Alligator mississippiensis: one gene and its partners. The protein of the gene in region 3 interacts with the protein of the main gene of each other region in a pairwise test. Links are inferred from orthologs where the notes say so. Each region holds a gene or a part of one and is shown on either strand. Other genes may lie near its edges.

Evidence for each region.
Region 1: the proteins of CCDC33 (region 3) and CCDC102B interact in a two-hybrid assay, tested with the Homo sapiens proteins (2 studies listed by BioGRID). The two-hybrid records come from large-scale screens. The link is inferred for Alligator mississippiensis from reciprocal best matches to the Homo sapiens genes CCDC33 and CCDC102B.
Region 2: the proteins of CCDC33 (region 3) and PPP2R3C interact in a two-hybrid assay, tested with the Homo sapiens proteins (2 studies listed by BioGRID and IntAct). The two-hybrid records come from large-scale screens. The link is inferred for Alligator mississippiensis from reciprocal best matches to the Homo sapiens genes CCDC33 and PPP2R3C.
Region 4: the proteins of CCDC33 (region 3) and FAM124A interact in a two-hybrid assay, tested with the Homo sapiens proteins (2 studies listed by BioGRID and IntAct). The two-hybrid records come from large-scale screens. The link is inferred for Alligator mississippiensis from reciprocal best matches to the Homo sapiens genes CCDC33 and FAM124A.

Annotation. Positions count from the first base shown.
Region 1 is NC_081826.1:103,260,319-103,267,335, forward strand, and holds the start of CCDC102B (coiled-coil domain-containing protein 102B), read left to right. Parts: upstream 1-3,995; 5' UTR 3,996-4,097; intron 4,098-7,017. UniProt on the Homo sapiens protein: During interphase, forms fibers at the proximal ends of centrioles to maintain centrosome cohesion. During mitosis, dissociates from the centrosome following phosphorylation to allow centrosome separation. Contributes to CROCC/rootletin filament formation.
Region 2 is NC_081825.1:256,630,312-256,637,852, forward strand, and holds the start of PPP2R3C (serine/threonine-protein phosphatase 2A regulatory subunit B'' subunit gamma), read right to left. Parts: upstream 3,018-7,541; 5' UTR 2,977-3,017; coding exon 2,928-2,976; exon of another isoform or gene 2,908-2,927; intron 2,732-2,907; exon of another isoform or gene 2,653-2,731; intron 1-2,652. Other genes in the region: PRORP (mitochondrial ribonuclease P catalytic subunit), read left to right, coding at 4,770-5,791. UniProt on the Homo sapiens protein: May regulate MCM3AP phosphorylation through phosphatase recruitment. May act as a negative regulator of ABCB1 expression and function through the dephosphorylation of ABCB1 by TFPI2/PPP2R3C complex.
Region 3 is NC_081834.1:42,251,656-42,259,157, reverse strand, and holds the start of CCDC33 (coiled-coil domain-containing protein 33), read left to right. Parts: upstream 1-4,493; 5' UTR 4,494-4,508; coding exon 4,509-4,818; intron 4,819-5,183; coding exon 5,184-5,671; intron 5,672-7,502.
Region 4 is NC_081824.1:415,959,023-415,966,530, forward strand, and holds the start of FAM124A (protein FAM124A), read left to right. Parts: upstream 1-4,486; 5' UTR 4,487-4,670; coding exon 4,671-4,729; intron 4,730-7,508.

The DNA of each region.
Region 1 (7,017 bases), on a different chromosome or scaffold from region 3:
GGGGGCATGTCAGAGCTGATTTGAATCAGTGCCTCGACACAGTGGAACTTTCTAGCACAAGGCACGGTAAGGCAGGGGAAGTCTTGGCATGGTGAAGAGTTCCGACGTGGATAGAGTTCCCGCCAAGGAAATGCAGATTTGCATAATGTGATTGGCTGATGTTAAATTATTCCCATGTGGCGGCTGGCAATTGGCTCGCTAGCCATATAAAAGGTTAGGGGCGTTTCCGCCCTAGTTGGAGAACTCTGCGATTCCCCCTGGAGTGGAACTCCGGCAGCTTGATCACCTGCCAACGACTCCCCGTCGGCGAAGCCTTGCGACGTACCCTCCGTGTTGCATGCCCGAGTTAGACCCGAGCTACCCTGTCTACAAGAGCTCCTTGATTACCGATTAGAGAATAGAATTGTTGCAACTACGATTGCCTGCGCTGTATACGACTCTACAGTGTAAGTAAAGCTACCTCTGTTTTCCAATTGATACATGTCTCGTTTGTGCCTAATTCTGCTCCGGTGATAGAGAGTACCCATCTTCCCGTCACGGGATCGCAGCCGCAACCCCAGCTAGCGTTCCCAAGGACTCCTGATCCTCGATTCCCCCTTGGCCCCCACAGCTACAAAATGTCTCGGCCGGGCTGAGCCGACTCGAGGTGATTTAAAAACTGCTCGTTCGTCAGGGCGGGCTGGTGAATGGAGAGGCTGACAAGGCTTAATGGTTGTAAAAAACTTTACTTACGTCGCGGGTGGCTGCGACGGAAACGGTTTGGTCGTCTGGACAACAATGTGAGTTGCTTCAGCTGGTGAGGCCAATGCCAGTAAATTCGTCCGTAATTCAAGCCGGTGGAAAAAGGGTACGTCTGGGACTGCGTTCGGCGACGGGAAGAAGGATCGATAGGTGATCAGTCTATCGATCAGCTAGCCGCAAGTCGGATCTCTTTCGAGGCACTCTGCAGCGTGCTCAAAGCTCTTTGACTTGGGCGGAAGTCGCGCTAGTTTTTAAACGGCCAGCAAGCCAATTACCGGCCGCCACGTGTGAATAATTTAGCACTAGCCAATTACGGGGCACAAATTTACATCCGAATGGCAGGAACTCTTTGCACCATGCATTTCTGTGCTGCAAAGAGAATGCATCCTGCAAAAACAGCTGCAAAGTGGCGGGAACTCTCTCCTGCACGCGGGCTCTCTATGCAGCAAAAACCCTCGCTGTGCAAGAGACTCTCGTGTGTCAAGAAAATTCCATAGTGCCGAGGCACCAAACTCACTGGGTTATGACACAAAAGACCAAAGGAAACGTGTTATGGTGAGTGCTGGAAACATGAACTATGTCATGGAAATAGCATGCAATATGTTTCAAGTAATGTGCATAACTGTGTGGGGGCTTGTCCCTAATACATTAGTGATTATGGAGTGCCTACAGTATAGTCTAGTACCTCTTTTTTTTGGATATTGCGGTTTTTAGGGTGCCATTCTGTATGTGGATTGTGGCATCAAGAAAATTTATTTTAGTGTAGGAATATTACAGAGAAAGTTTTATGGAGGGGGGATAGTTGGAAACCATATATAAAAAAAACCCCCATGGAGAACCATATTTATGTTCACAAGACCAGCAAAAGAAGCTATAAGCTACAGTCAAGCCCTCAGGTGCTACTGTATCTGCTCCGAGGAAAATAGTAGTGATTCCTACTTGGGCAGCCTAAAATCTGTCATTATGCAAGGACCCTACAGTACCAAAATAGACTGTACCTTTGAAAGAAATACTCTGCAGTAACCTGCTACAATACAAAAAGAAACCCCACTGTTGCCACCTACCACCACACACTAGAACTGATTAGAAGAATCAAGAAACAACCACAGCTTCTGCTCAACAAAGATGAGACATTAGGGAAAATATTCCATGCCCCTCCACTCCTGGCTTTCAGAGAACCCAGTTCTCGCCCAGTTCACTGTCAGAGGCAAACTCCTCACTGTTCAACAGGCATCAAGTGGGACACAGCCTTAGCAATAAATGCTTAAACTGTCAACACACATCTCCGCTTCTACTATAATCAACACACCCCTCCGCCACAACAAACAATTCAGAATTCATGGAGAGACATATTTTCCCAAAATTACATTTCTGATTCAATGTACCAGATGCCCTCATGGAAATTACATGGATGAAACTAATCAACAGCTATGCATTGGAGTCTAGGGACAGACATTACACACACACCGGTTTAAACGATCAGAAACTTGTTTAAATTTGTAACACAACAGATGTTCAGTGCACATAAACCAGTTTGAAAATGGCTGAATCCGGTTTGAGATAAACCTGGTTGAACGTAGTATCAGACTTAACTGATTTGGCTCAAACTGGTTTAGGCAATGTCTGTCCCAGACCAGAGTGAACCTTCACGGGAAGCAGTATAAAGGACACAGACACACACATGTTGATAAGGAGCACATGTTTTATAGAACAAGCACTTCCTTTTTGACCTCACTATTCTCCTGCTCAAGGGATATCTACCAAAAACCTTTAAAAGGTGAGCTTGGGAACAGAAATTCATAAGCTGGCTGGACACTAGGAACTGAGGACTGAACACCAATATTGATTTTATAACACACTATAATCTACCTGATTCCTGAAATTATTCCTACACACTACAGGTGATAATGACCCTTTTCCTCTTGAAAGGTCTTGATCTCCCATCAATTGATCTTCTTTTCTTCTGCTAATTCTTTGTCTGCTACCCCTGGGAATTTCTCTCCCTCTCTAATTTCATAGATCTACCCACTGTGCCTAACAATTTCTGTGCTTGCTTTCTTCTTCAGACCTGAAGAAAAATGCTTTGCATTTAAAGGCTTATCTAATTCCAAATAAAGGAGCTGGTCCAATAAAATATATCACATAAAAAAGTCCTTGCCTCTCACATAACTCCTGGACCATTACAGTTACCACATGTCTCTAGCACTACCATGTCTTATTACATGACATACAAGAATGGATCCTAAATCTGTGGTTAGGGAGTTTTAGGCTAGGGGTTTTAGGCTTTATAACAAAGTTATTGAATTATGGCACAACCTAGGCCCTGAAATCATGGGATTTTTCAGGGTGCATGTGTGGAGTTTTCTTTTTAAATTAAAAACTTCAAATATTAAGTTTCTCAAGAGACTCATGACCTGTTACATCACATACATGTCTGACTTTATGCCCCTAAGAGTTCCAACTCCACCAGTGCTTAGAGGTTCCAGAAATTTGGCAACAGGGGAGCAGCAATTAATGCTGCCACTGCTCCTCTGCCACCAAATTCTTGGACCCATGGGGAGATTCATGGGCTGCATGACATGACCTCATGAGCCAGGTCTGGCCAATGGCCTGGAGGTTGATTACTACTGATGTAGTATATCACAAGTCTTTGTTGTTTTGCAGCCTTAATAAGTAGTTTGTTTGTCACAGGAAAACCCAAGGTGTGCTAGTACTATACAGCAGTGGTTCTCAACCTTTTTTTGTATCAGGACCCATTTGTAAACATTAATGGCCAGTCCCAACCCAGTGCCCCTCACACCCCAGCCCCCCACTGTGTGGGGCAGGTGGTGGATATGTGGGGCATGGGGGTTCACAAACACTGCTATACAAAAATGTAAGAGGGATTTTTTCCATCCCCAAGGTTATTCTTTTTTAAATCTGAAAGACACCAAAATAAATAAGTGGCCTTGTTTCATTTGAAGATGCTAATTCTGAAATGAATCATTGAAGTCAATGGTACACTTAGATTAGAATATTCTGAAATCTTTGAACAAATTGGGGTCATAATTTATAACCGACAATGAAAGAAGGGTTAGAAACACAAAGAGAAGCAATGTTTAGTAAACAATAATAAGCACAGTTTTAATTTTGAGTGAATGACCTGTATTTAAAAAAAATGTTGTGGCATTAGTTTTGATAAATCCTGACCAATGGGAATTGTTTTTCAAGTTACTGTGGAATGGCCTTAATGCTGCGAATAATCCTGTTGGCCAAGACCCCAGTGCTCTGCAGATGAGAAAAGGATGCAGGAAATTCTGTTGTTTACACATATGTCTGTAACACTGAGAAGCGAGAGCAGCCCAGCAAGCCTGAGGGTAAGGGGATTTAATATGCTTGCGAGTTTATGATTTAATTTTTTAATGTTCCTGTTGGGATAGAAGTTGTTGTCATACCCAGGGTGAAGCTGTAGAACAGCAGATGTGCATACCACCTGAAAAGATAATATGTCTGAAAAGAAATGTAATTTTTGAGTACACAACTAGTTTGAACTTTCCTTTCCTTTCCTTTCCAATTTGCCTCCGCTCGGTAAAGTTTATCCAGATATGTAAACTATACTTTGACTACTTAGATATAGTGTTTGCTTATCTAGACTAATCAGGGAAGATTTTAAAATCTTCAGAATATGTTAAGTGCTTTAGATTTTTATAAGTGATGATAACTTCTGAAAAATGAGTGTAAATATGTATTATTTGAAAGCTTCTACTGTCTTGGTGTGTATACGTGTATGTATAAAAGAATCAAAACTTGCTTTATTTTCTATTGCAATAGGAAGAGGTGGTGATGTTTTGGTCATTTTCCACAACCTCATACTGTACTGTACAGAACTTTGTCTCTGGAGTATAGTATTGTTTGAGTTTTGCTGCCGTGCTCATAAATTTCTGTTATTGTTAGCAGGAAGTTTTGTGGTCAGAAAGAATTTCTAATTTCAACAATGTAGATAGTGATAGTTATCTTAATTTCCTTCTGAAAAATACTTGAGTGCAGGCATGATTATGGACTAAGGGAAAAAACAGTGTTAGTCTTTTGCTTAGTTTTATTGCACAAGTGTAATGTAATAGGCTGGCACTACAGAAAGATATATAATTTGTCCACTCTTTGAAGGGGTGGATTCCCAGATGGAATGTGAATATGTGGAATATGTAGACCTATCCCTAGCCAGAGCTCCAAATTCACCAAATGATGTAGAACAGTCTAATAAACACATAGCAAATAGTTATAACAGAGTTTTTGTTCTTTTTTTAAAAATAGTAATGACCTGTCTTTCCATTCTCACTAATTTCATTACAGTTCCCCACATCATCAGTGTTTCTATAAATCAGCCTTGTTCTGTTAAGCATGTCAGAATATTGTTTATTTTGCATCTTCATAGATTTCTGCTGCAATTATTTGCCAGTGCACTGAAGATGCAAAACATTATATAAAAGCTAAGTATTATTAATTGGGCCAATTCTGTCTCATGCACTCAAACATTCCATTGAATTCTGTAGGAGTTTAGGCATGACATTTCAGTCCTTGAACCTAATCTTGCTTGCTTTTTTTGCATTTGTTAAATTCAGCCTGATATTTCCCTTAAAAATATAAAAAAGTTATGCTCTTAATTTCAGATTTGTAAAAGAAATGATTTATCAACATACATGGGCCCTAATCCAGCTGCTAGTACAATCAAAGCATTGCTATTGATTTTTGTAAATCAGAATAAATTAAAAGACTCAAAGGCTCCATCTTGTTTATCCTAATCTGCTAGTTGAATAATCAGATTAGTAAATTGATTAGTCATTATTGTTAAGACCTGCATGTATTCTTCAGCATTTCACATAACACAGCAAGAAACCTGCCCTACTTTTGTTGCACACAGAGGTCACAGTGAGACTGTTGCCACACAGAAGTTTCAGAGGTGGTTGTAAAGCACTGCTGGCCAATAGCAAGTTTTTAATGGCAGCTGCTCTCCACAAAAAATATTCTAGTACAATCTTGTTTCATGGTTCCTATATTTTCTGTTTTTCTTTGAGTTGTCCAGTAGAACTACTGCAACAAGCATGTATCCTCTTCCATTTAAATATTGCATTTTATACTTGCCCCTTTTCCTGAATAAAATGGTTATTGATCACTAGAAATAAATGAAAAACAGCTGGCAGGTTAGTACAATTTAATAATAGTGACAGAAGGACTTGACAAAAAAAAGTCTGTTATAAATCATTGGATCCTTTCATATCTCTTTATAAACAGGCTGTCCTGTAATTTGTAGACTTCATTTTGTGAATATGTTGAATTTGGTTTCATTTATTTTAACCGACTAGATTAAAAACAAAAACAAACAAAACAAACTTGAATTTTCCCAGCACCAGAAGAGGGAGCTATATGCTAAAAGATTCATATTGGGAGGGGGGGGGGGGGGAACAGGCAGTTATGTACCTCTGCTAGCTGTATGGTTAGAGAGAGCTGTGGTTTGAGTTTTTATTTTTTGTTTTCACTTTTTTTCTCTCAGCTCTGATTAACAGCAGAGCTGTGACACCTTTCTGACTGACACTGCCATGATTACTTCTATATAAAATGGTCCACAGAGTGGACTAAACAACATGACTTACCTAACCATAAATCTGCATATGCCTGGTTTAAGTTAAACCTGCTGGGTATATATCCATTCTGTAGAGGAAAATTTCTATGATGGTAGCAGAGATGTATTTTACTATCTTTACTTGAAACTATATATGTTATGGAAAAGTGGTTAAAAAGAACAGAAGAATCTGGGCAGGTCCTTCAAAATTTAAACATGCAGACACGTGCACACTTTTTCAAGAAGGATCCATAGAAATGGATACATAGAAATTTAAGGTTTTATCTTCTGATGTCATTATTTCTTTAAGTTTTAAGCCTCATTCTTCCTTCATTATCTTGGCCTCTGGTTCATGTCCTTTGCTTTTACTTGCTTCCTTCCCTAGCCCAGCAATTTCTGTTTCACTGAATACTTTAAATAGCAATACCAATATAACACTGCCACTATAAATTTATAAGGGTTTAATTGATCCCTTGACCTAACTGCATATCCTGTAATAGGAAATCCTTACTGCTCTTAGGTTTTTCCATATTGTTCTAAGCCAGGGGTTGCAAACATTATTTGGTTGTGGAAAGACCCAGCTCTTGGTAAAGCTGGACCAGTGCTAGTACCCAGATGCTCCTACTACCACTTCCCTCTACGACCAAGCTGAGACATGCCATGGGTGAAGTGCACGGCTG
Region 2 (7,541 bases), on a different chromosome or scaffold from region 3:
AGAAAACCAGGATCCCTGATTATGACTGGCATAGCTAGGGAGCAGTAAGATCTCCCACTGAACTTTCAAATTAGGCTCCTTAAAGAATTGTATTACCCCTGGCTGTGGCAAAACAGGTGCCTAGTTTCCACTGTAGGTGACTCAGAGTCTGAGATTATAGTCCAATTTCCCTATGGATGCTCATTTTTGAGGGTTTCCAAAACTACTATGACACCCTGGAAGAAAGATCATGGTAGTTTTTCCAGTATGAAAGTCAAGGGTTTTTTGCTCTTTGTGGCAAAAAATACTAAAGGAGACAAGGGCAGATCCCACATTTGCATTTAGCGCAACTCTTTGCACATAATTTAAGTGAGGAGTCTAACTAAACTTGCTATAAACATATACAGAATATTAACTAATTTACAAGGGTGTAGGTTGTAGCCATATTGATCTAATGAATTAGTTAGGCAAGGTTATTTGGATAAATCCAACATCTTTTATTAGACCAACTAAATAGTTGGAAAAGATTTTCTTAGCAAACTTTTGGGTTTAAAAACCCTTCGTCAGGCTGAGGAACCATCTACAGTTAGTGTGTGCTCTTCCTGGATGGAATGAATAGTAAAGAAGCCAGAGGCTGGTGTGCACGCAAGAAAGGTGGCCAGTGAAAATGTAAAATGAGGAGTCAGTGGGTGAGAGAGAGGCTGGGGGAATGAATGTAGCAGGTAAATAGCAGAGAGGTACCTAGAGAGTCAGATGCCAGGCAGGCTGTAGTGTGTCATAAATCCAATGTCTATATTTAGTCCATGATTATTTTGTATCCAGGAGGCTGATGAAGTGCAGTTCATAGGCTTGTCTGTGAAAAGTGTTTTGTAAATTCCCTTTGAAGATTAGAACTGAGAGCTTGGAGAGAGAGTAGTTTTCTTGTGAGAAATGTATCTCCACAGGTAATTGGGTATTATTGTCATTGATAGATTTCCAGTGTGCATTCAGTCTGGTGTGCAGTAGTTGTTTGGTCTCTCCTACATATCTTCCATCATGGCATTTGGTGCATCAGATGAAATATATTACGTTTCTGGAGGTGCAGCTGTAAAATCCAGGAATGCTGATTTTTTCCTGTTGTGGGGTGTAGTAACTGTGAAGGTGGTGGAGATGTGTTGGCAGGTTTTGCATTTCTTGTTATAGCATGGTCTGTATCCATTCGGTGTGTTTTAGGCGGTAGGAACTTTGCTTCTGGAGATGAGGTTAGCGAGGTTTGGTGCTTGTTTAAAGGCTAGGATGGGTGGTTCTGAGAAGATCCCTTTAAGAACTGGATCTCCTTCTAGTATGGGTTGCAGCTGTTTGAAGATTTTCCATATAGGTTCGAGGGAGGAGTGATATGTCATAACCAGTGGCCTGTAATTCATGGGGGTTTTCCTTCTATACTGCAGCAATTCTTCATGTGGTATCCAGGTGGCTCTTTCTAACACGTGATCTCTCTCTCTGGAGTGTTCTTGCTGAGTGAAAGCCTTTTCGAGATTTGTGAGGTGGCAATCCTGGGTGTTCTCCTCAGTGCAAATTTGGTGGTATCTGAGGGTTTGGCTGTATATCACAGCTTTCTTGGTGTGTTTAAGGTGATTGCCAGTTCTGTGCAGATATGTATGTTGGTCTGTGGGTTTCTTGTACAACGTGGTCTTTATTTTACTATTCTGGATACTGATAGTTGTGTCTAAAAAGGACATGTTGGTGCTGAAGTACTCAAGAGATAGTTGGATGGAGGGGTGATGACTGTTGAATTTCTGATGGAACTCAATCAGAGATTGCAGGTTTTCAGTCCAAATGATGAAGGTATCAGTATAATTTAAGCATAGCAAGGGTTTGATGGTACAGTCCCTGAGGAATTCTTCTTCCAGATTCTCTCACAAGAAAACCACTCTCTCTCTCTCCAATCTCTCAGGTTTAATCCTTAAAGGGAATTTACAAAACACTTTTCATAGATGAGCCTATGAGCTTCACTTCATCAACCTCCTGGATACAAAAAATCATGGACTAAATATAGACATTGGATTTATGACACATTATAACCTGCCTGACATCTGACTTCCCAGATACCTCTCCACTATTTACCAGCTTCAATCATTCCCCATTCCCCCTTGCCCCCCCAGCCCATCTCTCACCCACTGACTCCTCATTTACATCTTCACTGACTGCCTATCTTCCATCCAGGAAGAGCACACACCAACTGCAGATATTTCCTCAGCCTAAGGGTTTTTAAACCCAAAAACCTGCTAAGAAAAAAAATTCCAGCTATTTAGTCTACTAAAAGATATCAGATTTACCCAAAGAACCTTGTCTAACCAACTTAAAACAGTTTTACATCTAGTGCTGCTAGAAATAGGGATTATCTAACAGGTAGAGCTTGGTTTTATACATACTTGACTTATAATCAAAGAACATCTCTTGTTCCTGAAACCAGACCCTTAAGGGAAATTACAATCCTAAAATTATTCCCCACCGTGAAGGCTCAGTGTGGGTTTATGGGCACTCGTTCCATTTCCAAAGAAAATCATCAGAAAAACTGCATGGGGTTAGATTTTGTGAGCAAGTTAATATAACTAAAAACAAAGTGTGAAGCTCTCATCTGGAAGAAAAGGCACAGGACTAGTCATATAGGAGGATTTAACAACAACTACGCACTATTTTTGTATCCCGTTACAAATTCACGAGCTCTTTGCCCATGCGCACAGAGCCGAGAGGGCGCTGGGACCCGGCTCAACGACCCCCAGAGCCCCCCAGCCAGACCCCGCCTATGCGGGAGCCGCACGCGCGCCCCGCTCAGCCGCTGCTTTTTGCTCTTTCCTCCAGGTCCTCAGCAAGGGGGCAGGCGCACTACGCATGCGCGCACGGGGCCTGCCGGCAGGACCTGCTACGCTACTGCCACCCCGCGCCGACCTTCTCACGCCTCCACTCACTGCCGGGACGGGCCGCAATCCGGCCCTTCAGCGCCTGTCTCCACTCCATGCCCCGAATCCGCCTCCCGCTCTAGCCACCGCGCATCCGGGCTACTGTGCCCACATGATGTGGCCCGCTACCACCGCCATCTTAGGGGCTGCCATGCCTCCCTGCGTCACGTGCCCAGCACGACCCTAACTCTTGCCCACAATCAAGATGGAGTCCAAAGGCCACTAAGGTGATTCTAAGACGCCCTCCTTTCATAGGATCCCGGCGGTCACGTGCACAATACCCTCTTCCGTGAAGGAGTTCGGCGGGAGCTCCGATTGGCTGAGAGGCTCTAGCTTGAAAAGTCTGCTGGGTACAGACCGCTCGGCCGGCTCTAGCGCTTCGGTGGGAGTTTAGCAGTGGTGATAGGTTGGTGCTTGCCACGCATGGGCTCGGGTCGGTCAGTGGGCAGTTTTCAGCGAGTGCGCAATCGGCGCAAACTCCAGCTCCAGCTCGCTTTGCGCTACGATGGGGTGCACATGTTCCGCCGCCGCCTCACGTTGCATGCCGAGCACTAGCTTTTCCGGAGGTGGGGTGAGGCCGCCGAGACCTGCCTTGGCTGCGGATCCACGTGGGTGGCGGAGGGGCCAGGGATCGGCTCCCGGCCTCTGCCCTGCACCGAGCGGGCGGCGTCGACACGCACAGCTTGGATGGTAGTTACCTCGAGTTAGCGCCCTGGCTCCCTCGGTGGTCTCGGGGTTCATTCGGGCTCTTCACAGGTACTGAGCGCAGGCCCATGGGCTTGGGGCCCAGGATCCCAGCACAGCAGGCTTGTCTTGGGGCAGGACCCGGCCTGTTTTTAGCCCAAGCAGGTGCTGGCGAATGTGAACGACCCCGGGTAGTCTGAGGTGTTTGATGCAGTGATGACCCCATGTCCCTCAGCAGGTTGATCGCCTTGTTTGTCCTCCTTGGCATATTGAGCTGCAGGTGCCGCCTTTCTCAGCACTACCCCCCCACCCCCAGTGTTTGTGTTTAAATTCCCTTCTATCTGGAACCGCTGCTTTCTGGAAGTCCCTTTGTAGCATCTGAAGAAGCAGGATGTGCCTAGAAAAGCTTACGCTTCTCTGAAGCAGTTAGTCTTTAAGATGCCCCCCTGCCCTGCCTTCTACAGAAAAGTGTGCCTTCCTGAGGTGCCCCTTACTACAAACTGGCCGGCAAAGCAGGTGATGGCTGCTACCAGAAAGCATCCCCTGCTTAATGGGGAGCCTAGGCACAAGTTTTTCCTTGTTCCTGTTCAGAGTAGACAGTTCCCACTTACTCAAACTTTATGGACTTGGGGTAGAAACTTTGTGTTATTGGCAGCATCTCGGCAGTCTCTAGGCACGAAAAGTTGGGATCTCGACCTGAAGTGGTTCAGTTTTTGTTGTTAAAATGTAAACTGAATTGAATTGCTGGATGTTACCTTTGACAGTGGTGCTAACGTTGTCCTTTGTGGTCTGCTTTTTATTTTTAGGGACTCATTTCCTTATTTGGAGGGAAGCAGCAGAAGAGCTCTGTTTTTGGAAGCTGTATTGTATTCCCCAGTTCCACATGCATGTATGACAAACCTTAAAGAGCATTAATGGTAGGACAGCCACAATAAACAGCGATTTGCAGGCCTTTTTCTCTGGAAGAAAGACATCCTATTTTTTTTATTAATATTTTGCTCATTTTAAATGTTTCTCCATTTTGGCATCTTTTGTTTTCAGGAAACTTTTAAGATTATGTGCCCTTTTGTTTAGACAGCCCTTAGATTTGAATTATACATTTATTTGTGCAAACTGCACTTACTGTGAGATCTTTCCTGGAAATCTTCCCCAGCATATTGATTTCTTATGGCTTTCTTCCTTCAAGCGAGTAACTGGGGTTTGCAGACTTTCCTGGGTAGATGTTTCCTGTTCCAGCCTGCTTCCACTTGTCAAAAATCACTGGCTCTCATGGTTCACCTCCGCAGTAGGGATCAAGTTAAAGGTTTGCCTTTTACTACATCTTCCCAATCTGCAGTACCTCAGGATCTCAGAGGAGTTCATATGCTGCACAAGTCCAGATCTGGAAGCAGAGATGGAGAAAAAGAAAAAAGGAAGGAGAGCTCCAGGGAAGAGGACAAGAAGAAAAGTCTTATGTCCCCGTTCTCTGCTGGAGCTGCCAAACACCGATCAGTGAGGCAGCGGACACCTACATCTATGAGACTGCCTAGGTTGTCTAAAAAAGATGATATCCAGCCTCCAGAAAAACCTTTGAATGCTGAGGAGTGGCAGGAATGGAGGACACGATTAAAGCATCTTACAAATTTTGAAACTGTAATGTTACGTCGAATGATCAAGTATGAAAGCTCCATAGATGTGGCCAAGTCCTTGATGGCTGATGTGGTATTGAGAAATGGGGAGGTCAAGTATAATTTATTGCTTGGGTACCTGATTCTATGTGTCCAGCAGAAGCAGGTGGCAGAAATTTTTGATATCTATGATATAATTAAACTCAGATTTAAGACTTTAGACCCTGGGTGTTACAGTCTTCTAATCAGGGGTCTGAGTGATACAGAGCGTTGGAGAGAGGCCATTTTGCTACTGAAGGAGATTAGAAAAGTTACACCCCCCTCTAAAGGGAACTATGGATATTGTATCAAAGGGGCTCTCAATAATCAAGACGTAAAACTGGCATTAGAATTGTATCATGAAATGGTGGCCGAAAATGTGATGCCACACATGGATGTGCTGCAGGCCTTTTTTGATACCTGCAAGGGTACACAAGATGATAAATTAAAAAAAGAACTCTTAGACATGCTTCTGTATTTTAGAGAGAACCAACTCTATCCTAATGAAGCTGTTATGCAGAGTATAAAGCTGTGGTTTGAAAGGTAAGTAATGTAATTTCAGAAGTAATTGACTAGAGTTGGTGAAGGAATGGGTGACATTTCCTGTTATCCTTTTATCTTGCAGAAACTCTAAATAACCCTGCCAGCCTCAGGATGAAAGCAGCTGTGTGTAGGTGGGGTGGTGCTGGCTCAACATTATGATGTGATGGTGCAGTATTTAAGGGGCCCAGTACTAGCAGTTCAGTGTCTTTCATGAAGAAAGACATCCTCACTTCAGAGAAGGTCTTAAAGGATTGTGTGCTAATGGGAATTTTGTTCCCATTTGATGTATCACCACCTACCTCGCCACAGAAGATAAGGGAAGAAACTAGATTATGGGTGTGATGGTGGTAGAAAGCAATTTAGTAGATGCCTAGATACTGTAGTAATTTGTAGTATAAATTATTAGATTAACCTCATTTCTCTTGCTGCATGTTTCTTCTCTTGTTATTTTCTCAGACCCAGATCCTACATCAGCAGTGTTCTAGGAAAGCTTGGCCCATGGGCCAGATATGATCTGCACAGCCATGTCATCTGGTGGCCTGCAGGGCTCCCCACTGGTCTGGAAATTTGGCAGTGGGGGAGTGGTGGCAATTAACACTGTCACTGCTCCTGACCCCGCACTACTAAATTTCCAAGCAGCCATAGGCCAGATGCCATAATCCTGCACCATCTGGCACAGGGCCCAGTTTTGTGGATTCAGGGACCAATCTGGCACATGGAGCTGGGACGTAATCTGGCTAGGTTGGCCATCTACACTGTGTTGGGCCTTGGCTGGGCTAGTCCCATGCTCTGGATTGGGCCTGCAGATTGGATCTGGTCTGTGGACTGACCCTGTGCCACTCATCTATCCCACAGGATAAGGTTGGGCATCGTTGTTTTGCATCAAACCAAAAGGAATTTGGCTCTTTATTTCATAGGTGTAGAACAAAGCTCTCACCCATTTCTGTATCTAGTGCCAATCCAATTTCATTATATTTTGCTTTCTTCTCCCTCTTTCTTTACCTCCACATCTGATGTTGACCTCACAACTATTGAACTTTGGTAGTGCCAGTTACAAGGACTTCAGTATTCCCAATTTCTTAAGTACCTTGCTGAAGTCAGCAGCTTCAAAATTGCTAGTGTACATGCTTCCTGGTCAAGCCAAACTTTAATATAGAGGTGGCTTAACTGTCAAGAGCACTGTGTATATTGTTCAGTACTGATTCTTTGAACAACAGTAGTTGGAATATCACATCACAAGGTGTGACTTATGAAATATTCTCTATAGCAGGGGTGCTCAACCCCTGGCCTGTGCTGGGGATGTAAATATTGTTTAAAAATTATCTGTTTATTATCCTCTAATTATACCGGTTAAACAGTTAACCGATAATACATACCTAGTCCTGGCCTGAGGGTGCAGAGCCCCGGGCCAGAATCTACCCTGCCCTGCTAGGGACTACACACAGACCACTTGAGCACAACTGCTGCTGGGATCTGCTCCCCAGTATCTTTGACAGGGGCAGGAGGAAGTGGCAGCAAGCTTCCCCTCCCCCCCAAAAGCACAGCCCATGTGCAGTAGGAGCAGGTTAAGCGCTTTCCCAGCTGATTTAAACTTTTAAGTAACATGTTATCTCTCTCCAGCCAGCTTCCTGGCACCTGTGAAGGAGCAGCTAATTGCTTAATTGACCAGTCATTAAACAACCTGCTATTTGTATCTCTAGCCCTATGGCTATGGGTACTAGTCCCTCCTTGCTCCTCCCTCCTGCCTGCC
Region 3 (7,502 bases):
GCCCCGTGCACCGTGCTGTGCACGGGCTAGGGCTGTAGCCAAAGCTGCTCGCCGCTCCGGATCCTGCCAAGGGAGTTGTTGGGGGCTCTTCTGGGCTACAGATGCCGCCTGCTGGGCAGCTGTCCCCAGCCTTTCTTAGCCCTCTGCCGCTTCGCTGTCCCTCGATGTATCTGCTGAATGCTGGGCATGCAGCTCCTTTATTTACTGTGGAAGCTCTGCCTCCAAAGACTTGCCAGACCTGCAGGATGCAAGCTTCAGTCAGGTCCGAGAGGCTCTTTGCCCTGCCTCTGTGTAAGGAGCGGGACTGGCCTTGTCCAGCCCTTACCTGTATTGGGCTTGGCCAAGTGACTTTTGCCTGATTCCAGGGGCAGTAGAGTTCTGGTGACATACCAGAGTGGCCAGTTGCCACAGTGGGTGGGGGTGGGGATGAGGAGCAATGCACTGTGGGAATCTGGAGGTCTAACCCGATCCTAGTCATGGAATGCTTGGTGTCCATTGTAACACTGAACTGCTTCATGTAGCGCCAGTTCAAAATGGTATCCAATTTCTCAGGTACACTTTTGAACCTTTGCAAGAGGTTTAAACTGGTCTAAACTGTCTTGTACATCTGTCTGCTCATGTTTTAAGTTGTGTTTAACCAGTCTAAGCTTTACATATGTCCATGTCTTAAGTGAGATGAAGTTCAGCCCCATGCCTCTGTATGTGTTTTCTTCAGCACTAAAGTGATGATAATCTGGATGAAGTAAACCAGTATTTCTTGAGGCATGAATAGAAGATTGGCCAATGCTTAGCTAATAATGAGTGATTGATCTAGATATTAAATTGCAGTAATGTAACTAAGTGATGGTGACTCAGACACCAGCCCTGGGAGCCAGTTTGGGGGGAAGCCAAAAATAGCAGCTCCCACCACTAGTCTCCTGGCCACCATGCTACCATCAATAAAGGCTACCATGCCACCACCCAGGACACAACACTGCCCAGTTACATCCCTGCTAATTAGTTCACAAATATATTAATGCTTAAGCTGAACTGGGTAAGAATGTCAGGAATAGCAATAATGAGAAGGGCACTGGGAGCATATAAAATGGCACTAGTCTGATCATTGCCTTGGTTTTTATACCCTCCATTACAGCCCATGCCCTGCTTGATAATTGGTATACTGCATTCTGACTGCCTTAGGGGTATTTACAGTGAAACATGACCTGGAGCCAACTGAGCCAATGTGTTTTGCTAAGACCAGCTGCGCGCTGCTAACACCAGGCCAAACTCCAGTAAGACTGGTGTGAATCGGAAGCACTGCCATTGTCTTCACTAGTAGACTTGATTGAGAAAGAGTTGACTTTGTGTGGAGTCAGTAGAAATCCACAGCAGAGTTGAGCCAGCTGGAAAATTTTCAGTGAAACAGTTTTCCATTCATTCAAGCAGTGTTGAGAAAACCAAAACTTTTCACAAGAATATGTTGAGTTCAACCAAAGTTTCCCTGGATTTTTTTTTTAACTGGCCTATTTTTATTTCAGCTTTGCATTCCAGGTTTCATTTATTTTTCCTGTTTCTATTACTTTTGTGGTGACATAACTTACATGGATAGTGGTAATATGTAACAGTATGACATCGTACAGGAGGTAAAATGTTCTCTCATTCTGTCTCATCTTTACAATCAATTAAGGACAGCCACTACTTAATCCTGTTTGGAATACCTTCCTTTGTTTTTTAAATCAGGGGTGTCAAATTCATCCCAATCCCTACGCCAGATCCAGACCATAGGGCTCTTCCTGGGCCATATCTGTGGAGCTAGAGGCTGCAACCCAGCAGGTTCAGGAGTGGTGGTGGGAGTCCGGCAATGACAGCAATGGGGAGGCGGCAGCAGAGGTCTGGGGACAGTAATGGCAGGGAGGAGGCAGCAGCTGGCCAAGTGTCTGCAGGGTAAGTGGGATTGTGTCAGCACAGACCTAGCACATCCCCATTGTCACAAACAGCCAGGCCCCAGTGCGGCTTGGGGACCCTACAACAGGACATTGTCCCCAAATTCTGCAGGTAGCCTGGCAGGCTGTACAGAACAGCTCTGCTGGTCATGTTTGACACCCCTGTTCTAGATCAAAGTGTCCCCTGATTGTATTGTAATGAAGCAGTTTGACTAAGTGTCATAATTTCCTAAGAAACAGGAATCCTAAGTATCTAAGAGCTCTACAGTTGAGGTGCAACTGGTTCATAAATGGGAACATGGTAGAGTGTTAGGCATGGGGGATTACATTTTACATGAGGGTGGGATCACTGTGCCAGGGAAAGCTTTCAGATACATAGTACAAGGAACCCTCAAAGGCAGGTCATAAAATGATAGAAAATGAGGGTTGGAAGGGACCTCAGAAGGTTACATCTAGTCCAACCCCCTACTCAAAGCAGGACTGTCCCCAACTAGATCATCCCAGCCAAGGCTTTGTCTAGCTGGGTCTTAAAAACCTATGAGGATGGAGAGTCCACAACCTCTCTGGGTAACCTGTTCCAGTGCTTTACTCCCCTCCTAGTGAGAAAGTTCTTCCTTATATCTAGCCTGAACTTCCCTTGATGCAACTTGAGACCACTGATCCTTGTTCTGTCACCTGCCACCACTGAGAACAGCATAGCTCCTAAACTAGTCAAGCTGCTTTGAGGTCACAGGGTACATACACCCTTTTACACCAGCTGAAGTTATGGCCATTATTATCTCAATGCCTGCCAATTCTGATATGGCCCCAGGAAAGGGTATGAGTAAAAAGGGGAGTGTCCATTGATAACCTGGCCTCTTTTTGCTTTGTGCCCCCATACACACACAACCCCTTCTGGGTTCCCAGGAGGCTGAGTTGTCTGTGGATGCCCACGTTTTCTGGCAACTTAGGGTGGCCAGATGTGAGGGAGGTACCCGGACCCTTCTTCTAGGTATTGAGGTGGGGGGAAGATGAAGGGTTGCAAATGAGTGTCTAGTCAGGACACAGCTGGTTGTTATGTAGTAATGGAGACAATAGATGTGGGAGTGGGGGGCTATCAGCCTAAATTTCCCTTTCAGGGAAAGGCAGGCAAAGCTCTTTGGGCAGATGTGATATCTTTTATAAAATAAAAGGATATAGGCAGGTAAGGTTCTTTGGGTAGATGTGATTTTATAAAAGATACCACATCTACCCAAAGAACCTTGCCTGTCTGTGCCTTGCCTGCCTGCATCCTTAAACCAACACGGCTGCAACCAAAAACCCAGCCTTTCAGGGAAAGTGAGGCACAGGGGGAAACTGAGGCTTGGGAGAAAGTGAGCACAGTTGTTGGTTATGTGTGGAGCAAAGGGTTGGGGGGAGCGTCCAGGAACCCCTGCAGCTCACACATGCCCACCCACCCCAAGTCAGCCCAGTACACCCTGGATCATACGAGCAAATGAAGTTAATGGACCAGCTTTCTGTGCAAGTTCCTTGAAAGCCACAAAGTGGAAAGCTGCAGACACGAGCAGCCCCAGCTCCCCCAGCTTCTCGGAAACCAGGACCAGGGGTCATGGTTTTCCTTTCCCACTCCAGTGTGGCATTCACCACCTCTGGGTGGGCAGCATAGGGGCAAACCCAAACGGTCCCCAGGCAAACCAGCCAGAACTAGATTTAAGAAAATAAGTTCAGTGAGAAGAATTTATTGCAATGTTGAGAGTCCTGGACACACTGGATTCCCATAAGCAGGATCAGGCCCAGCCTTGAACCCAGCCCTACCCCTTTGTCATATGGAGACCTCCTCCAGTTCATAGCATGGTCTGTGTGGGGAAGAGAAGGGTGGTGTTTGCTGGCATTGCCTTGGTTATCTCCCCGAACACAACCTTCCTCCTTCAGCTTTGTTTGCTGGAAGCCAGGCTGCAGGTTTGCATCTAGTTACCTGGTTTCGCTACAAACAAACCGAGTTCAAAGCACCCACTCCTCCTCATGCCCCTCCTGTGGAGCAGGTAAGACAGGACGCTCTCTCCCTCTTTCTTTCTTTCTTTCTTTCTTTCTTTCTTTCTTTCTTTCTCTCTCCTATGCAGCGTGCTCTGCTCTAGCAGCCGGCTGCTTCTTGACTTTCCCAGAATCACCAAAGGTGTGCAAGTGCAAAGCAGCCCCTCAGGGCTGGGGTTTTTTTTTGAAAACCTCCTTTGACTGAAGAGATGTGAAGCTGACATGCCACTGACAGGCAGCTCCAGGCACTTCCCTGCTGCAAAGGAAAAACGCTGTTTAAAGGAAAGGCAGGGTTTGGGGGGAAGCCTGCAGCAACAAGGACTCTGCTCAGAAAGTCCAAATCTGTGGCATTAACTAGAAAGGCTGGCACTGCTGGTCCTGTCATGGGTGGTTTGACCTGTGACTGAACAGGGTCTTGGACATCTGCCAAGAGGGCTGCTTGACACAGCAAAAAGAGGGGCTTGTGCTAGTGTGGGGCAAATTTTTCTGGGTATTTTGTAGAGGAGTTAAACAGAGCTATTGTTAGTGGTTCTCTTATTATTATTGCCCACTCCTTCCCAGGAGAAGGCTGTGCCGATGGCCAACAAGGCCACAGAACCTCGCGTCCCCATGACCCTGCAGAGGTCACGTCTGAAGGCCGAGGAGAAGACCCTGGATTTTGAGTTTGAGGTGGTGAATGTGCAGTTCAATAAAACGGGAAGATATGCCCTGAGGTTGACTGTGGAGAACCTGCTGCTGGAGGGGTCTGGGGCTGGGGTGAAGCTGCGGGTGAATGAGGGAGACGCCCAGTACACCACCGTGGGGACCACCGACATCATTGAACAGAGCAACCCCAATGAGATCTGTTCCTTTGAGAGGAGGAAATTTATCTTCACTCTGCCCAAAGGTGAGAGGTTGCGTGCGAGGGGGAAAGGGAGGAGAGGAAGGGACAGGTCCATACAGTCTCACATAAGTCTAAACTCCCCAACTCAGAGCTTCCCTATTCATCACTGGTTCCTTGACTGTGAAGGATGGGTCTTCATTGACACCCAGGTACTTCTCTGCCAATGCTATATTTGCCCATGAGCAAGCTGGGCTGGATCAGGTTTTGCATAGGGAGGGTTGGATTAGGTTGGGAACTTGAGAAATCCAAGGGACTGTGCGGCTGGACCAGATGTGGGCAGGCAGGATCAACTCTCGAGAGGCAAGCAGTACAATCAGCTCAGGATTTGGCTTGTTGTAACATGTGCTTGTGTGGGTTTTGGGGGCCAGGATTCTGCAAAAATGACAAGAACCACGATGTGCGGCTCCGGATTGAAGCTCTGCAGCTCCGTGGTGCCTCCATGAAGAACAGCCTCCGGGCAGGGGAAGCCTTCTTTGCCATCTATCCTCGTACCAACCAGCCCCGGATCAACCTCTTTGCCAAGAAGGATGAGGATCTGTACCGTTACGACGATATCATGGCGCTGCTGCGGGTGGGCAATGACAAGCTGGCAATGCACTGTGGGAGGTTGGCCTACAGTGTGTGCTTTCATGAGCACCGCCCACCCGTACCAAAGGAAACACATAGTTCATCCCATCACCTTTCACCCCAGCCATCCACAAAGGAAGAGGGGGCAGAAACACCACGGCCATCATCCCCAATGCCCCTGAAGTCACTGGGAACCCCCTTGCAAGGTCACTCACACGTTACTCCAGGAGCATCCACAGACTCTCCTAGACATTTGCCAGCTGTGGACCTCCACACCTCCTCACCAGAGGTAAGAAACCTATGTCTGTGCAGGATGGAAAGAGTGTGCTGCTTCCACAGGGAAAGGATGAGATGCTTCCCACGGTTAAGAAAGGTGGGTAAGGTGGGCAGTAAGAGAAAAGGTGGTCTAAGCACCAGCTATAAGGCACTGAAATGCCTGAATTCAAACTGGGCAGGATCTGCCCAGCCTGCTACCTCTCCAGATGTTTGTCTAGAAAAGGGAATGTGTCACTGATATAACTTATGGTTGTGACCATCATTCTTCTTCCTGTCTACCAGTGATGCTCCAGGACATTTGTTTGCCACATCTCAAGCCACAGGGGTGCTGCATTTCAGTGTGGTTGTATGTGCTGTGGGCTGAAACCCCCTGCTAGCCTGCTCCAGAGAATGCATCACTCATTTCTGACCCTGGCACATCCCTGAGGACCCCACATTTTTCAGTCCTTCTGTGGTCCAGCAGAACCTAGGACTTGACCCTGCTTCTTTGTGAGACAGTGGCAAAGTGAGGTTAGAAGGTGGGATGGTCTTGCAGGTTGAACACTCCTAGACAAGAATAAGCAAGTCCTTTATCTCACCTGTTTCAAATGGTTCTTCTTTAGCTTTGTTTAAGGTGTGGATCAGAATAGGTCTGTCCATCCCATCCCACTTTAGATGGGATGGTCTTCCTGCTCTCACTTGGTCCAGTGCCTGAACCCCACTCTGAAGCCAAGAGTCTCACTCCCCAGTTGTGGCAATTTCCCAGGGCCTTCCATTTACTTCAAGACTGATGGTGATTCCTTTTATGTCCCCATTGTTTCCCTTTCCTTGCACAGTGATAAACCCTCCATGGTTGAGGTAGAGAGGCCATACGCTTTATAATTTCTCTGGGACACCATCTTTTCTTGCAACAAACAGACGGATCTCATTCTCCATCAGCCTTTGTGTTAATACAATGATCTATCCAACTAACCCTTTATTTACTTTCTGATATTGTCAGGTAGAGTCTTCTGTGGAAAAACCCCAGAGAAGCTAGAAGTCTGCTAGGACAGATTGCCCATGAAACCTTGTGTAACAAGGTGCCCTGCCTTTTTAAGGGCCAGGAGGCTTGGGGTTGGCCAGCAGAGCATAAATACCACACTCAGCTAGGAAGTAGCTAGATGTTTCCTATAGGGCTCTGAAAGAGTCAGGGTAGGAGGGGATTAGGCTTTGAAGTGGTTCTTGGTACATGGGGAGGAAGTTGCTTGAAGCAGTAGCTTGGTAGGAGTAGAGGAACTGGTTGCTTCAAAGCCATATTAAAAATTAAACTCTGCCCTGGAAGAGATCAGGCTGGAGCAATGAGTCCTCTCTGATCTGAGGGAACAAGGCAGCTTCTGTGCCTACAGGTAAGGAGCTGATTACACTTCTGCTTATGGAGTGGGGTCCTGGGCTATGGAGAGATGGCGATCCCAAGTGAGATGAAGAATCCCCTCCCCCAGGACCCTGGGGGTCCCATTGGGAAGACCTATGGGTCTGAGATGACAAGAGCTGCCCCAGGGATAGCTGCTGTATGGTGTGCCTTCATTAGAGCGACAGCCCTAACAGAAGCCAAGTTCTTACTCAGCTGAGCACCATGGGCCCCAGCTGGGATGGTGAAAGTGTCATCACTCTACAAGAAAATCCAGTGGGTCAGTACTGTGGCCAATGGCCAGGTCTCAGCTGCTTCATCTCTCTTGAAACTCGATAGAGCCCTGACTCTGGAGGAGTTTGTGTGGGGGATTGTTATCAGAGCTGATACTCTCCCCCAGATATTGCCTGGTCCATGGATGGAGGTGGATAGTAACAGGCCTGCCGTAGGATATGGTGGGCTAGTAGGGAGAAAAACA
Region 4 (7,508 bases), on a different chromosome or scaffold from region 3:
GTAGTGTCCCCTATACTTCCTGGTTTATACTGGTTACGTTCCCAGTACTGTTCTCTCATTAAAAGGTATATGGTTAAGTCCCCATTGGTGGTCTGGTTCTGCTCTATAGGAGGAGGAGAATCCCTACACCTCCCGCAGCACTTGTGCACCTGCTTTGATCCCTTCAATTGAAGAGGGGTACCTCTTGGAGTACTGCTCAGGTTACATACATTTTGTACAGAGTCTGATCCTGTCAGTGTGTGTTAGGCAAACCTGAGGAATGTCTCCTAGAACAAGCCCTTTAGGGGACTCGATGAATGCCTAGTTTCTGGATCCTGACTGGACCTAGGCATGATCTACATGTCAACCAGCTCAGCTCCATTGAGACTGGGGAAGTTCTGGATGGGGCAGAAATGCAACCTCAGGCACCTGGGGAACTTTAAAGTAAAAATGTAAAGTGTCTGTGGAGCTGAGGGCAGATGGCAACTAAGCAAATGTTTTCAGGATTGCAGGTTTGGATTAAAGTGTCTAAATGACACCTAAACACCTTTTTAAGCACCTAAATCCTTTTAAAGATCTGGCAGTAAGCAACTAGTGAAAAAAGATTTGCCTAAAGAGCTGACATAAATTTCCTGTTTTAGTAGCTGGGCTTCTTTAATGTAAAACTACTAGAAAAGAACAGTTTATTTGCTGACTTTGTTGACGATTGCCTCTGATAGCAATGCTTGTTCTCTGATAGTTTTTATGAGCACTTTCCTTGGATGCTACACAACAGAAAAGCCAGACTATCAGGAAATTTTCCCAGAAATAGGTGGGAACATTACTCCAATCTTCATGAGTGCTAACCTGGACTCCAGAATGTAAGGAAGAAATTAAAATGAATGTTTTCAACATACCACAATGAAGAACTAATGTGAAGAACTGGTAAATGAGAAACAGCAAAGTGACAGAGATGCCTTAGTACCTCACTCATTAGAATCTGAAATGCTCAGAATTTTTTGCAGAAAAGTGTTCCTTTCAGCATAATTATATGAAAGACCAGAGTAAAATTGAGTTAAATGAGGCAAACATATAAATACAGAGAGCCTGGAGTTTGTGGTAGCTTTACTTACTATCTTAATGATATATTTCCTTTAAATGTGTTTTGTTTTTTGGGGTTTTTTTCCCTCCCTGAGACAGATGGAGCAAATTAATCTTAAATGCAGCATAAGATATATTCCAGATCCTTTGAAATGCCAGTGCTTAAACATAACTAATTAAAATCATGGAAGTTAGACATAGAAAAGATCTATCTGTTGCTCAGCTAATAATCTACATGCAAAAATTGCACAAATTTAATCAGATCTGTTTTAAATATTTAAAAAGGTATAGTGCCACTCCCTTTTTGTGGGTGATCTGAAATCAGCTTAAAAGAGCCTAAAATCATTTTAGCTCATTTTTTATTTGGAATCAAAGTTAAAATGATTTAAAGTAAATCAATTTAAACAGATTTGCACTGATTTAACTACCAATGTGTGCATGCAGACCAAAGCTCAGAAACAGTAAGACTTGAGCACCAGGATTCTGGTTCGACCTAGTACTACATGGGGTGATTTGAGGAGTAACTGGTTTAGGAGCAGGTTCTACTACCAGGATTCATACTGGCTTGCATTACACCCTGGTTTCAATCCTTCAGAAACGGATGCACATATGTAATTTTGTACATGGGAACTAATCCATGGATTTCAGTGACATTACCCTACCTAGATAAGGGGGTGGACAGTCTGTCCCTTAACACTGTGAATGTAAGAGATATTTGCCATTTCCTTTGGCAGTGCAGAATTTTACCTGTTTAGACCATACCTGCTTAGAACAGGTCTAGATGACACAATGTTAACACTTATCTTGTATTCCTTATTTGTATTACTGTATGCCTGTGTTTTGTCTACACTAACACTGACAACTCTGCTGCCACTAATGCAGGTGAATTGGTTGTGGTCCAATAACAGAATCAGTGGTTGCACTATTACAGAAAATAGAGATGGAAAGAGCATGTGGTCATTACAGCATAATGTGCCTCATATTTTCAATGCATAATTGTCTGTTACAGTATATATTTTTTTAGTTTCTTCTATAATCTAGTTTTAAAAGTCTCATGTTCCTGAAACAATCACCACTTTCCTTGATCACAGTAAAATAGTAATAAAGAATGCAAAAGACTTGGTATTGTTATCTTGAGTATGCGTTCATTCTACAAGCAAAGTTTTCACTAACAGGAAGTGTGTACTCACTGAAGAATGAGATTGTATAAATAGATTTAGCTGAGATTTTTTCATCAGAAAATACCAACTTGTCAGACCTCAAACTTTTGAAAAACTTTTTTAGGGAAAGTTCCATAGCCCCAGGATAGAATTTCTTCTCAAAACCCAAAAGAGAGCCACTATATGATAGCCAGTTCTCCTTCCTCTGCTGGCAAGGTTCAGATATTTATGGTGTTCTAGAGCAGGAATATGAGGTCAGGTCCCTCAGACCCCCTGTGAAACCTTTCTTAATCACTCCTTCTGGGGTTGTTTCATTTTGTATGAATATTTGAATGGTGGGAGGGAAGAAGTGAGTGGGAGAGGGAAACTAATCTTCTTGTCCAATGGATTTAGCAGACAGAAGATGTAGGTTCAAGTCCTTGCTCCAATTAAACCATACCCAGAATACCAACTATTTACCCTGATGGTCAGGGCACTTCCCAAGCAGTAGGAAACCTGAATTTAAACTCTGCGTGCCTGACTCAGGGTAGGGCTTTGAATCTGTTTCCATCATGCTTTTTACATCCTAAATTGATGTTCTACCCACTAGGCTACTGGGTGCTCTCAAGCAGATCTCTCTACAGCCTTAGAACTTTTGGAGAAAACTTTATTTAAAAAAAATCTGTTTTGTCCCAGTGTAGAACAGGAATTTTCATTACCGCAAATAACCTTGTGGGCTGGGGAAACTATTATCTGCCCAGCTCTAGGTGAAATATGGTGATAAGATAAAGCTTCTCTTCAAAGCACCACATATCTATATCAACAACTAGGGAGAGGCTCAGAAAATGAAAATGGCTGGGGTTTTCGAAGGTGCTGATGGGTTTTAAAGTTCCTAACTTCTGTTATCTTTCAATGGGTTTTGAGCATCCAAATCACATAGGCCAGTTCTACAATAGTTAGATCAGTTATACTGGTATAACTATGTTGTTTAAGGAGATAGATAGATAGATAGATAGATAGATAGATAGATAGATAGATAGATAGATAGATAGATAGATAGATAGATACTATATATTTTATATATATCTATATCTCTATATAGATATAAAGATGAGAGAGAGAATCTTTACACCTTCCCTGTAACACCTCTGGTGCTGAGCACCCGGTTGTAAAATAAGGATGTAATATATATATCTAGATATAGATATAGATAGATATAAATATAAGTATCTATATCTGTCTACCTAGAGAGTATATATTTACTAAAATATCTGTACTAGTATAAACCCTATAATTGATATGGGTATAGGTGTGCCAAGGTGCCTTATACCTAGGACATGAGAGATACCACTCCCTTGTGATTCCACTACCTACAGAAAGCCAGCATGTCTTAACCACATTAGCCCAATGGAGCAGCTAAATTGAGGCAGCCCTTTGCCTGTGACCTTATACCCACATAACTTACTACATGTCCTGAACCATAAAAGCAGAATAAGCTCTGTTGGTATAAGCTCCTTGGTGCCATTATATAACAGTATCTACACTGGACATGGGCTGTGGTCATCTTAGCAGTACTAGTATAGCCATAGTGGTAAAACTTGCTTGTCAGCAATCCCTCTATTTGAGGATGGTCTCTACTATGACTTATTGATGAGTCTTGGGGTGAGGTCAAGAGGCCCACCCTTGCACCACAGATGGGTTGCACAAGTTGCAGGGCTTTCCTCAGGGGAGAGAGGGCGGCAGGAGGGGATTCCTCTCCTTTCCCTTCCTCCACTCTCTCTTCCCTGCTTCGAGGGCAAGCAGCTTAGTGTAGCTAAGCCCACAGGCATCTTTGGAAACAACCCCAGTCAATAAAACTTCAGGCAGGGTTTCATCCCTAAGAAGATAACAAAATTGCCATGTCCTGGCTCAGACCATAGGTGCATCCCGCCCCAGCCTCCTGTGTCCCACAGGGACTAAAAGGTGACAAATAGGCCCGTGTCCTACAGGCGCGGAGCGGGAGAGGTATTTCTCCCACTGTCCCTCTGGCACTTGCAGCCTCCAGCATCCCCCTGCCCGGGCTTCGCGGAAGCGTGGCCTCTTCCGACCGGCTGGGAGAGAGGGCACCATGGGAGCCAGCCGGAGCGGGCTGGGATGAAGCTTTGCTACCGGAGGGAGAGAGGGCGAGGGTGAAGGCGAAGGGGTCTTCTTCCCCCGTGCAGCTGCCCGTGTGAGGGAGGGGAGAGCTGGGGCCGGGGGGATCGCAGCAAAGGAGCTCCCCGCGTCCAGCCCCCTGCTCCAGGCAGGGCCCTCCAGCTCGCTCGCCCAGCCCAGGCTTTGTCTAAATAAAACCTGACACTCGTGCGAGGGAGGCGGGGGAAGGCGCGCGCGGCAGGGACCAGCTGCTGCGGGGCGGAGCGGCCGCGGCGGCGGCGGGCACTGGAGGCCGCCCCACAGGGGCCGGCGGGCGGGCATGGAGCCCTGACGCCCGCCATGGAGAAGGCGGCGGGCGGCGACGATGAGTGCGTGGACTCGGGGGCCGAGACAGGCGGGTGAGTGCGGCGGGAGAGGCGGGGTGCACTTGTTGCTGCTGCCTCTCGCTGCCCTTTTCTGCCTCGCCGGAGCCTCCGGGGCGCCCGCGCCGGCTCCAGCAGCCGGAGGCGCCGCGGGATGCTCGGTCTCGGCATCTCCCTGCCCCCAGCGCGGTCCTCCCAGCCGGGCAGAGAGCAGCGGCGGTGGGGCCCGAGCCCGTCCAAACCATCCCGTGCAACCTTCGTCCGAGCTCGGCACAAGGCTGCCCGCGGCGCGGGAGAGCAGCCAGCCCTGACCCGGTCCCAAGGGGAGCCGGGCGCCCCCCCGCGCCCGCCATCCCTGTCAGCTCGCCTCCCCGGCTCCTTGCGCCCGCGGTGTCGGGGCTGCCGGGGCCAGGTGGGCGCGGCACCGGCGGCCAGAAGCAGCTGCAGACGAAGTGGCGGCCCCCTTGCAGCTGCCGCCTCCTGCCCAGGGGCTGGGTGGGGGGTGGGTGCCCCTGTGTGTGTGTGTGTGTGTGTGTGTGTGTGTGTGTGTGTGTGTGTGGAGGGGAAGCGGGGTGGGAGAGTCTTCCTCCGCTCCTCTCGCACCTGTTGATCCCCCTGGTCGACGCTGTGGAGAAGCAGAGCCTGCGCCTGTTGGGGCAGATCAGAGGTCGCCCTCAAGCTGAACAGCTGAGGTCACCCTCAAGCTGTGCAGAGAGGTCCTCTTGTTGTCATCCTCATTTTAGAGCCGGGTGCTCAGCACCAGAGGCAGTGCGGGGGGGGGGGGGTAGTGCCGCCATGTCCTCAGAGATGCCACCAAGGAAATAAGCCCCACTCGCCCCCTCCGTGTCATCCCTGGAAACGAACCAGGCAGGTGGAGGCACCTTTGGGCCTCAGCTCGTGAGCTCTCCAATAGCCTACATCTGGAGTGTGTCGCGGGGGGGGGGGCTCTTAGGTGTGGTCGCTACCTCATTTCTGTACACAGAAGGGTCATGCGGGGCTTGCTTCTTCCGTGCCAGGACTCAGTGCTCTGCTGTCACAGTGTAGACCAGTGGTTCTCACCTTTTTAGACTTGGGTCATCTCTCGTTAGTCTCAGAGCACCCCTCAGGACATGCCAGCTCTTAGCTTTCACTCATTTCTTGGCTATGGAAAAATACTAGAGCAATTCATCTGTTGCAGAGAACCCAGAAAGACCACAAGTCAGAATGGTTTTGACACTAGATTCCCATTGGAAATCTCTGGGTTTATCCTGTTTATCATGTGTAGATGTTTGCACACCCAACAGTGCTAATATTGTGCAGCAACCCCAGCGCTCTGGTTGAGAATTACTGGTGTATTCATAAGTGACTTGTTCAGGGTCATACAGGTAGTCCGTTGGTGGTAGAGTCGGAATAAAGCCCAAAGCTCTTGAGGATCACAGCAGTGCTTTAATCACAAGGCTGTAATTTCTCCAACTCTCTTGCCTCTAGTCTTTACCACTGCTTGTGGCCAGCATTTGCCTTGCTCCAGGGGGGCAGAGGGGAGTTCCTATAGCTGCATTTCAGATGCTGCTGCTGTCAGTAAGGAAGCTGACTCTTTAAATGGGAGGCACTGTCACACTGAACTTGTATGGAGACAGCAGTGTCTGAGAGTTATGTCATCATGGCTCTCGGGGAACTCATGAGCAGGATCCCCTGGGAGGCCTCCCCTGGGTGGGAAGAGGAGTCCAGAAAAGTTAGATGTGCTTTTAAAGAACCTTAATGAAGGCACAGGAATGAACCATCCCAATGTGCAGGAAGACTAGCAAGTATAGCAGAAGACCAGCTTGGTTTATCAGGGAACTCTTCAGTAAGGTAAAACACAAAAAGGAAGCTTATAAGTGGAAACTTGGACAAACAACTAGGGAGGAGTATAAGAGTATTCCTTGTGTGCAAGGATGAGATCAGGAAGGCCAAAGCACAATTCAAGTTGCAGCTAACAAGGGCTGTGAAAGGTAACAAGAAGGGTTTCTACAAGTATGTCAGTAAGAAGATCAGAGAAGCTGTGAGTACTTTACTAAATGGGAGAGGCAGAGGTCAAAATACCACCGGGTGGTGGGGAAACAAGACAAGAGGAAGCATGTGCTGCTGAAAAGGGAAGCCACCTGGAAATGTGCTGTGGCTGTTGGCCAGGCTCTGCCCAGCAGCATTGCTGCAGCTGCAGCCCTGGGAGGCTCCCAAGACCCCAGGTAAGGTAGTTGGGGTCAGCCCAGTGCTGGTCTCAGCCTTCCCTACCGCTCTGACGGTAACTTGCCATGTGCTAAAGCATGTGTGGCATCGGCGTTCCCCAGGGACAAGTAGCAGCGGCTCAAGGTATACTGCTGCTACTTGTTCCCAGGGAACCAAACCATCCACATCTAGATGTGCCCTGTGAGCACAGGATCAAACCCTGAAAGACCAGGATGAGAGGTGGGAGGTGTTGGCAAAGACCTGGTGCACACATCATTTTATGTGCTGGAGACAGGGAGCTTAGGGACAGGAGAGGATCCCAGACTACTTGGGCTTGTGTGACCAGAGAAAGCAGAGAACTACATTTCCATTATAAAGCAGAACCTGTAAAAGGTGAGAGACTGAAATACCTAAGCAGAGACAAAAGACTGAATGCATGAGAGTCCTGCCAAAGGTGCTATAGGTGACAAGCATACTAATGTCAAGGTACCCAAGGGAGAGAAAGGGGTGCAAGTGCACCTGTAAAAACTGAAGTAGAGATGAAGTCTGTGGCATCTCCACTCTCAACACCTAAGAGTCCCCAAGAAGGACTTTCTGAATACCTGGCTGTAAGGAGACACTACCCCCAGGA